Linked DNA regions of Drosophila melanogaster. The protein of the gene in region 1 interacts with the protein of each later gene in a pairwise test. Each region holds a gene or a part of one and is shown on either strand. Other genes may lie near its edges.

Evidence for each region.
Region 2: the proteins of CG14383 (region 1) and Nopp140 interact in a two-hybrid assay, tested with the Drosophila melanogaster proteins (one large-scale study listed by BioGRID).

Annotation. Positions count from the first base shown.
Region 1 is NT_033777.3:12,986,806-12,990,441, forward strand, and holds CG14383 (uncharacterized protein), read right to left. Parts: upstream 1,707-3,636; 5' UTR 1,694-1,706; coding exon 695-1,693; 3' UTR 680-694; coding exon of another isoform or gene 628-679; 3' UTR 571-627; downstream 1-570. Other genes in the region: CG31342 (uncharacterized protein), read left to right, coding at 1-551, 628-679, 1,801-3,219, 3,331-3,472, 3,536-3,636.
Region 2 is NT_037436.4:21,830,597-21,837,229, forward strand, and holds Nopp140 (Nopp140), read left to right. Parts: upstream 1-2,177; 5' UTR 2,178-2,282; coding exon 2,283-2,381; intron 2,382-2,583; coding exon 2,584-4,233; intron 4,234-4,474; coding exon 4,475-4,633; intron 4,634-4,870; coding exon 4,871-5,284; 3' UTR 5,285-5,386; coding exon of another isoform or gene 5,387-5,539; 3' UTR 5,540-6,089; downstream 6,090-6,633. Other genes in the region: CG7148 (uncharacterized protein), read right to left, coding at 20-136, 194-890, 950-1,500.

The DNA.
Region 1 (3,636 bases):
GGTGGAAACGCTGCGCTCCAAGCTGCGCGAAATGAAGATTCTGTCGCCGCGCGAAAACCTCTACACGAAGCTACCTGAAGTGCGCGCACCGTTGCTGCCCACGCGGGATCCCACATCGCCACTGCCACCACCTCCTCCAGTTCCGGCGGCTCTGGTACCGGGCGTCGAGCGTGTGGTGGCACCCAGCCATCAGGCTCCGCCAGCACCACCTCCTGAGCCACCAACAAGTCCAGTGCCCACCACACCTGCACCTCCTGCCCCTGCTCCCGCTGCCATGTCCAACACTTTAACGCAGCACCTCCTCAACATGCTCTCCGATCCCATAAGCACCTACAGCGAGCAGATCAGTGAGTCGGTAGAGTCAGCCTCTGGTCAGGAAGATGTTGCTGTAGCTGAGGAACCTCCAGCGGAGCAACCGACCACTAGTGATGCCGATTTGAATCTCTCGGATGACGAATACCTGTCGCCCTTGCTGCGCAAGGCATGTATGCTTACCGAGAATGGAGCTCGCGTTGACGTCGTGGTGGTCACTGGACAGCGCGTTTCTGCCGGTATGAATATTTTTTATATAACCTAAATATATTTAATTTTTACTCTAACATTACAAAATATAACCTAAAATTGTAGATCAAGTCCTAAATTTGGAGCACATTCTGCAATGCGAACGACTGATTCCCAGGTGAGTGAATCCATCCTACAACATCTCGTTCATAAGCTCGTAGTTGTGCTGCAGGAACTTGAGTACTGCCTTCTTGGTGCTCGCTTTGCCCTTAAAGGTGGCCTTGAACAATTTTCGCAGGACGGCTAGATATCTCATGGCACTGAGGGTGAGCTCGTGGCTCTCGGCATCCAATTTCATGCCCAACACATTTTTGTATCTCTTGCTCACCTGGGCTTTCAGATTGTCAAAACTTTGGCTTGCCTCCTCCATCAGAGGAGCACGCTGCTGTCGCCGGTAGTGATCCATGTGGGCATGTAGCAAGGTTTTGAAGAGTTCGTTAAAGTGCTGCACCTGCTGGTGGTCTGATACGTCTTCGCAGAAAACACTGAACATGGTGTCAAAAAACATCGCCGGATCCTGTCCATTGCATAGTCTTTTTAGGGCGCTGATTGAGGAGCAGGCGAAATTTCGCTTCAGATATCGGTTCTCCTTGTCCAGCATGTAAATCTGATCATTTATCCTTTTAATGGCATGTTTGTCCGCCGCGCGTTTCACCTGCAACTTATCGATCAGACATTGAAGCTCCATCGACTCCTTGGTTAGTGCAGCGTTTTCTTTGACCAACCTACGATTGGCCTCCACTATATTCTCGCATGAACTAAAAGAAGACTGTTCCTCCTCATTCAAACTTTCATCAAATTTGCAGCATACAACATCTTTGCCGATTGCGGGATTCGGTTTTAGGCTCATTTGGTGAAGAGTGCGCAAATCCAACTGGAAACTGCCCGGCCACGTAAATGGATAACCCAACGATTTGTGATCATTGAGTTGTTTATGAAGGAGCAGTAGCATATAGTTTCTGGAAAAGCGTTCCTTCGGCGTTGACTGCTGGAAGATGTTGAGCCATCGGGTGCATGTGGGCACAATGTTATCTTTATCGGGCAGCATGTCCACCAGTTTCACCACACTGACAACCTCCTGCACAAATAGGTCATCTAGCTTCTCCTCTGTCAAAGAAAACGGTTTGGCCATGTCTCCAAGATTTGTTTATATCAAACTGGCTTGTGATTTAGAAATCAGCCTACTATGACGTCAGCATTCTTTATCAAATATTAAAATGTATTCCTGTTTTCTTTTAGACCGCAAACATCGCGATCCATGTCAGCTGGAGCGGCAGACAAATCAAAGCGACCGCAACGCAAGCCCCTCCAATCCCAATCTTCGAGCGCCGCTCCTACGAACAGTGCGGACTCTCAGGACAACATCACAATTATCCAAGTGTCGAATACCGCCAACAGTGGCCAGGAACATCCACCCGAACTGCCGCCCAAGAACACCACCACCGCTGAGGTGTTTCGATTCCCTGAGGTTAAGAGCAAGCCCCAGACTAATGCCAAGCAGCAGCCAATCCAGACCCATCACGAGTATAAAAGCAACGTACAAATCATTCCGTCCAACGCCAGTAGCAGTACCAGTACCATTCAAGTCCTTGGCAAACAGTCCAGTAGCAGCAATCCGTATACAACGCCCGTTAAGCAAAGCTCGTCCAATGGCTCCAGTTCACAGGTGTCGGGCACCACGAAAGTAAAGGTGTTGGGTGACGGAGACGCAACCACCAAGGTGGCTGTCTACGGCACCTGCTATCCAGCGGCCGGAGGAAGTGCACCCAGTTCTTCCGCAGCCTCTTCCTCTGTTAATCCTGCCAAGCCGCAGACGCCCAGATTAAGTAAAAAGATAATACTCAGTGCCAACACCTCGGGCATTACGAATATTAGCGTGAATACAGAACAGGGCAGTGACTCCATAATCAGTGGTAATATCCACTACGAGAAGGTCTTCCTTTCCTCCAGCATTCCGATCACCAGCAGAAGCAGTCCCACAAGAGTGGCAAACACGAATACCACACAGCCAGTGACTAATGGCAGTCCAGCTTTGCCACGTCGTCGGTTGGCTTCGCCGGCAACGGCGCAACCAGTGACCCCCAATGCAGCCGGCAGGGCGACGCCGCAGTTGACCCGAGGACTAACCGAACTGGTCATTAGTTCGCGGCCAAGTAGAAGGGATTTCCACTACCTAAAGCTGTTGAACACGCCACTGAAAACGAAGACATCGCACAAGTCAACCAGCGCCGCGAATAACAACATTGAACAATCCACGCCTTCCAGCTCCAATAGTACCCAAGTTACGCCAACGCAAAGGAATAACACCTCGATTGTAACCGGTGACAGCCAGGAGCAGCGGCGACGCAGTTCGTCCACATCCGATGCCCAGGCTCCACTTCAGCGGGTCCCTCAGCCCGCAACGCAGCGTAACGCTAACAATAACGAGTTTACGCCATCCCGAAACGGAGCCTTTCGTATGCAGCCACCGCCACAGGGAACACCTCCGTCAAGCACCAATCCCGCCCAGCAGTCGCCCAACAAGCGATTGACTTTGCGGGAGCAGCAAGTGATGCAGCTGCGTCGCGAGATTATGCATCCTGGAGGAGTGCGACTGAATCTAAGGCGCAAGGACTGCGTCGGTTCCATCGCTTGGGTAGAAGCCTTCGGTGGCGTTTGGTAAGTTAGAGAGAACTTCGTATCATCTCCACGGTGATTGTATGTAGACCGAATTATATTTGGAAATTGTATAAGCAATTGGTATGATTCACTAACTAGTTGTGTTTACAGGATTGCAGGCTGGAAGCAGAAGGAACACCCTGTGCTCTACAATGCCCTACACATCGGTGATCAGCTACTGTCCATAGCAGGTGTGAGCATTAGCAGTGCAGCTGAGGCCAACAAGATAATAAGGAACACCAATACGCTATTTGTAAGTTCGGAAAGATCCTTAGTTGCCTGATTTTATAATATCTCTGGTTCTCTTTTCACACAGGTTGAGGTCTTGCTGCGACGAATCCCATTTGGTCGCGCCTATGCTATCCGACGTGACCGCGAGGGTCAGTGCCTGGGTCTGATTCGGGATGGAAACACTTC
Region 2 (6,633 bases), on another chromosome or scaffold:
ATATTTACATATTTTGAGGTCAGTGAAATTCAAATTGGTATCCGCGGTCCACAAAGCTCAGACCGCGTTCCGAGTCGACTGGAAAGTCGGCGGTGAAGACAATATATCCTCTATATTCCAAAGAGCTCTTTAGGTTCTGCAATGGATTGATTGATTAGATAAAAGAAGAGCGACATAAACAAGAAATAGTAACCGCTCTATCCACAAAGTCCTCAAAGCCACTTAGGTCGTAGTAGAGCTTCAGAGGTGGCGAACGTCCAACTCCCGTCTTCTGCTTGAACGGCTCCCGCCGCTTAAGAATACTCAAGGCCCGTGGCAAAAATGTTGGCGTCAGATTTCGGCAGTAGGACACGTCGAGGTGTTCCAATCGTGGACAGAGTTCCACGAATTCTAAGAGGATTTCGTCGCTTAGGTCATTCCAGTTGCGCACGCAGAGCAGCTGCAGCTCTGTCATACAGGTATAGCGCTTTAGGTAGTCTGCCGAATGAGTCCAGCTGCAAATGGCCAGGCGCTTCAGCCTGCGATGCGTCCAGATGGGCAGCTTCTCATCCCAGCCCGGTTCAAGGGGCATATAGTACCCGTCCACGGCAAAGCCGACGATGTCCTTGGCCTTGAAAGCCATGATCTCGTAGAACTCGCTGACCTCGCGGATCTTGTGGTCATAGCTATCCGGACTGACCAGCGGGGGGATATGCCACTCGTTGTCCAGCAGCACCACCAGTTTCCTGAGGGAGGGCAGCTCCAGAACGGCGGGTAGAATGGGTTTCAAGGTGGCCAGATTGAGCTTAAGATCAGTGAGGTTCTTAAAGCTCTGCAGGCAGTTTCCCAGCTGAAGTTTACTGATCATATCGTACGTCCTAATGTCCAGGACCCGAAGATCGTGCAGCGTGCTGTGGCGCAAACGGAAAATGAGTTGCGAAATATTATGCAGCAGAAGGTTACTACTTACCGGCACACCTCGTCCAGGTACTTCTGCTGCAGCTCAAACGCCTTGTGCTGGTCCTCGTAGAGGTGCAGCTCCTGCAGGTGCTGGAAGTTGGATAGGTACCGCCCGTCGATGGGTGTGGTAAGGCGCAACTTTTTCAAGCCCGGCAGCAGGCGGGCCAGCTTGCGGATGCTTCGGTTCGTGGGATAGCAATCGACGCCGTCTGGGTCGTAGTAGAAGCTGGTCACCATGGGCAGCTCTGCAATGTGCATTTCGTCCAGATCTTTTAGAATGGAGCACAGACAGCTGCTGCCGCCCATTTCTCTGATGTACGGACGCATTTGGGTTAGGAAGTAGACCAGGTCTTCATGATTGGGCAACAGTACCCGCCACTTCTCCAGATCCAGTTGCTCGTAGGCATGGCTGGTGCGCCACTTGCTCAGACATATGTACTGCACTCGCCGGCAAGTCCTCGCGAAGGACACTTCCGACGGCAGGTCCTGCAAGCGATCGAAAATCTCGGCCAGACAGTCGTCGTCCAATTGCAGAATTAGGGATCTCGGCTCGGAAGCCATGGCCCGGGATGCGATCCTCGCGACACAATCTAGGTACAGAGTCTGTTAAAATAGCCGGAGCGAGAGATAGTTTCTGTATTCTGGATCGTTTCAAGCAGGTCAACTCAATTGAATAACAAACAAAAATACATTTTGGTGCTCCCCCAATGTGACCAGTCGTGGATGGTCTGAATACCTCACGCAAAAAACGTAGGTTCCTTACATTATGTTATATATACGCTAATTGTTTGAATACAATTTAATAATACAGTTTAGTAATTTATATATATATACATAGACATATAGACATATATATATATAACAAATTTAACAATACAAATTTATTGTTATATATGTCTATGTATATATATATATATATATATATATATATATATATACAAAACTAAAATTACAAATTTATTGTTATATATGTCTACATATATACATATACATATATATATATACATATATATATATACATAGACATATATAACAATAAATTTGTAATTTTAGTTTTGTCTAACGTAGCCTAGCGTTATTTCTAATTTCAAGATCTTTGTCGGTGTGGCATAAATAAATGATTACAATTGATTGGCATTTTCGAGTTATTCTTGGGAAGAATACCCGCTGCATTGACAGTGTTGAGAAACGGGGTGCAGGGGTGGCCACACCGTTGGCAGCCGCGTAGTGCTGCCATACCACTGATAAGTAGAAAACACGTGTGAGTGCGCATTCTTTTTTGTGGGACAAGCGGCTAGTAATTATTTGCGGACGGAAAATATTGACGAATAGTTGAATTAATCATGACAGACCTGCTAAAGATAGCCGATGCAATCGTCCTGGAGTACTTGCAGTCCAAGGACAAGAACCTAGCCAAGGTTTTCCAGCAGAAGACGAAGGCGGTAAGTTTCAGTGCAGAGCGGCAAGTGCAATATGTGCGGTTTGGATGCACCCGAAACATGTGGTATCTGCGTCCTCCTGATCTAGAATCCGAGGGCCTTGCTGTCCGCCGATGGCTCATCGAGCTGTCCACCTGCCACTTGCTGCAAGTGCCACGTGCTTCGTCCAGATAACCAAGAATTTCTGCCTTTTTCTAACTTGCAGGCCAGTGTCGCCAAAAGCAGCCCAAAGTTGAGTGAAATCCTTCAGTTCTACCAGACCAAAAGCCCCAAAAAGATCCCAGCAATCAAGGCGACAGCCGGAGACTCCAGCGAAGACAGCGACTCAGACTCTGAGTCTGATGCGGCGCCTAAGAAGCCAGCGACAGCTCCTGCACTAACAAACGGCAAGGCTGTCAAAAAGGCAGCTTCTTCAACCAGCGAGGACAGCGATTCAGAGGAGGAGAAGAAGCCAGCAGCAAAGGCCACGCCGGCCAAGGCTGTCGGCAAGAAGGCAAAATCCTCCAGCGAGGACAGTTCCTCGGAGGAAGAAGCACCCAAAAAAGCTGCTCCAGTGAAGGCACCTCCGGCCAAGGCGGCTCCCGCGAAGAAGGTTGAGTCCAGCAGCGAGGATAGCAGTTCCGAGGAAGAACCGGCAAAGCCCGCCGTCAAGGCCACAACGACTAAGGTTGCTCCCGCCAAGAAGGCCGACTCCAGCAGCGAAGAAAGCAGCTCCGATGAGGAGACTAAGCCAGCTGCCAAGCCTGTAGCCAAGGCTGCACCGGCAAAGAAAGCAGCATCCTCCAGCGAGGAAAGCGACTCCGATGACGAGCCAGCCGCCAAGAAGCCTGCCGTCCAGCCTGCCGCAAAGCCAGCTCCTAAGGCAGCCGCTTCTAGTTCCGAAGACAGCAGCTCAGAGGAGGAGGTCAAACCCGCTGCTAAATCTGCTGCCAAGTTGGCTCCTGCTAAGAAGGGGGCTTCCTCTAGTGATGATAGTTCCTCTGAAGACGAGGCACCCAAAAAGGCAGCAACTCTCGCAAAGCCCATTTCTAAGGCTGCTCCCACCAAAAAGGCCGACAGTTCCACTGAGGATAGTTCTTCGGAAGACGATGCTCCTAAGAAGGTAGCTCCAGCAAAGGCTACGCCAGCTAAGGCAATTCCTGCCAAGAAGGCAGCTTCCAGCGATGACAGCTCCTCGGAGGAAGAGGCGCCCAAGAAGGCAGCTCCAGCAAATGCCACGCCAGCTAGGGCACCTCCTGCCAAGAAGGCAGCTTCCAGCGATGACAGCTCCTCGGAAGAAGAGGCGCCCAAGAAGGCAGCTCCAGCAAAGGCCACGCCAGCTAAGGCAACTCCTGCCAAGAAGGCAGCTTCCAGCGATGACAGCTCCTCGGAAGAAGAGGCGCCCAAGAAGGCTGCCGCCCCAGCAAAGGCGACACCGGCCAAAAAGGCCAAGTCTTCAAGCGAAGACAGCGACTCCGATGAGGAGGAAGCTCCCAAGAAACCAGCCGCGAAGGCCGTTGCAAAGGCTGCTTCTTCGGAAGATAGCGATAGCTCAGAAGACGAAAAGCCAGCAAAGGCTGCTCCCAAGGCTCTGGCCAAGTCTGCAAAGGCTGCCTCCTCAGACAGTGACGATTCCAGCGATGAAGAAACGCCGGCAGTGAAGCCAGCTGTCAAGAAGACTGCTGCTCCTGCGAAGAAGGCTGACAGCAGCAGCGACGAGAGTGACTCTGGTGAAGAGTCCGGCGAGGTCAAGCCCAACTCAGCTACCAATGGCAATGAGAAGACCGCTCAGAAGCGCAAGTTTAGTGGTGGCGACCAGGACGAGGCCACTCCCAACAAGAAGTACAACAACTTCGTCAAATCGGGAGAGCAACAGGTAAGGCGGTGTAACTTATCTATGTACATCTAAAATTATCCGCAGTCCGCTTATGCATGTTTTCCTTCAGACATCAATTTTGAATGTCGGATAAAAATAATTCCTGAGTTAAAGGATTCCCTTAAAAGTAGCTTTTTAAAGCCCTATTGAAATTTGAGCCGAACTTTAAACAGCACATAATTTTGGCTCCTTGTCCGATTCCTGTGCAGACAGTTTTACATAACTTCATTGCCATTCGCAGAAGAATGACTTCACCTCCACACCTAACAACACCTTCAGCCGAAACCATAATATGAACAATAGCGGAGGGGGAAGTGGGCGACGGTCGCCCTTCCGAAGGGTACGCACCGAGGACGTGGTGGTGGACTCCCGAGTCCAGGACATGTCCTTCGAGGCGAAGGTAAGTGCCGCAATGGATTTGAGTCGCGTGGGTGTGTGTGTTTGCGACGGCTGTTGAGGATTAGGCGAGGGGGATCTTTCTACGAGGCTGAAAGGGGCAGACACACAAATTAGCAAGTTGCTCCTCGAAGAATCTCAAACCACTTGTGGCACTTTCCCAATACATTTTGAACTTATATATCAAATCAAATCGTTGCTAATTTGTGGTTTGCCCCTTTCGGCGTTTCTACCATTTCAGGAAAACGACTTTAAGAAGCACAACAACGGACGGGGCGGCCGAGGAGGCTCAGGCTTCTCCGGACGACCGGATCGCAGCACTTGGGAGACCAACAAGTTCAACGGCGAGGGCGGCGGTGATGGAGGCGGCTTCAAGAAGATTGGCGATCGCAAGAGCTTTGGAGGCTTTGATAACAACCAGCGCGGAGGACGTGGTGGTGGCGGTCGTGGAGGCGGCGGAGGCTTCGGTGGTCGTGGCGGTGGCGGCCGTGGCGGCGGTGGTGGCTTCGGAGGACGTGGTGGCGGCGGACGCGGAGGCGGCGGCTTTGGAGGACGCGGGGGCCGCGGTGGAGGCGGACGTGGAGGCGGATTCGGCAACAAATCCTTCGACTCGTCGGCGCCAAAGCAAAACAAGAAGATCACCTTCGACAATTAGAAATAGTTAGTTAGCGCCACCCACCCGCAAGCACACACACACACACTAGATGCAGTTATATTATCGGATTAACCCAATTTTATTATTTGCTCACCACGATAGAAAAACGCTGCCGGATCCTGGGGCGAGCGAGCCAACAAAGATCTGAAGCACACGCGCGGCAAGTCCTTCAAACACGAGAAGACCAAGAAGAAGCGCGGCAGCTACCGAGGTGGCCAAATTGACGTAGGAGTCAATTCAATAAAATTTGACTAGATTTATTACACCTATAAAATAATCCTTATTCTAACGGATATAACTAACTAGTTTAAGTAAAATATTTGCCTTACGCAATAGTTCCGCCAACATGTAAATTCTTTCCAAACTCTTGATTGACTTCGGGAAGTCCGTACTTCCGTTTTAATGTGAATTATTCGAATGCAAATTGGCGGTCGACAAACCCGTGACCAAGCAAATGGTTATTATGACTTTAGCGGATTAAACCCTTTTTTTTTCCTGATCGGACGGAATGAAACCCGAATGCGTTTCGTGGATTTTTTATAAGCCTTTAAGAGTTAAACCCCTATACATTTCTATTGTATATTATATATATTTATAAGGTTCATAAAGAGTAAGCCAAGGTATTTTTCAGACGCTTGGGTTAAATGAAGGGTTGAATTTTCCGCTAACTTGTGGTGATAGCCGGTTTATGAATGCTTATGACAACTTCAATATGTAAAAGATTAATTTGTTTTGTCACATTGGACAATGTATTTAATTGAACTAAGAAAACACGGAAAGAAATACATGTATTTTTTAATAACAGAATTGTTTGTAGTTTGATTACAAATTTGAATCAAATGAAACTAAACCTTTGCATGTTCTCTTCAGACCATCAAGTTTTGAAGTTTAAATTCTACGGGTTTCTAATCTCTAAGAACTCATCTTATTTCGGGTAAAGGAACTGCCCCAATCGATGCGGATAGCATTTTGGGTTAAACGAAATGTTGAAAACGGAACCCAAATAATTCTTTTTAATTCTTTGTTATATTTATTAATATGAATTTGATGCTTACGTTACATGTAACTAGGTTTCACTTTATCTCTTCATGATCTTTCACATTTAGTATTCAGAATGTATTGTCGTTTGATTTCACATACATAGGTGTGTACATTAAGTATTTTATAATTGAAAACGGTTCAACCAATTCAAGCAATTTCGATAACGAATAAAACATAAGGCGGGCCATTTAATTATAAATCATATATAATTAAATAATCACATTGCGTTTAAATCGTAAAATAATGATATTACATAGTATTCATTTAAAATATCCATGTCATGGTGTGTTTGTAGTTCGAAGGTATCA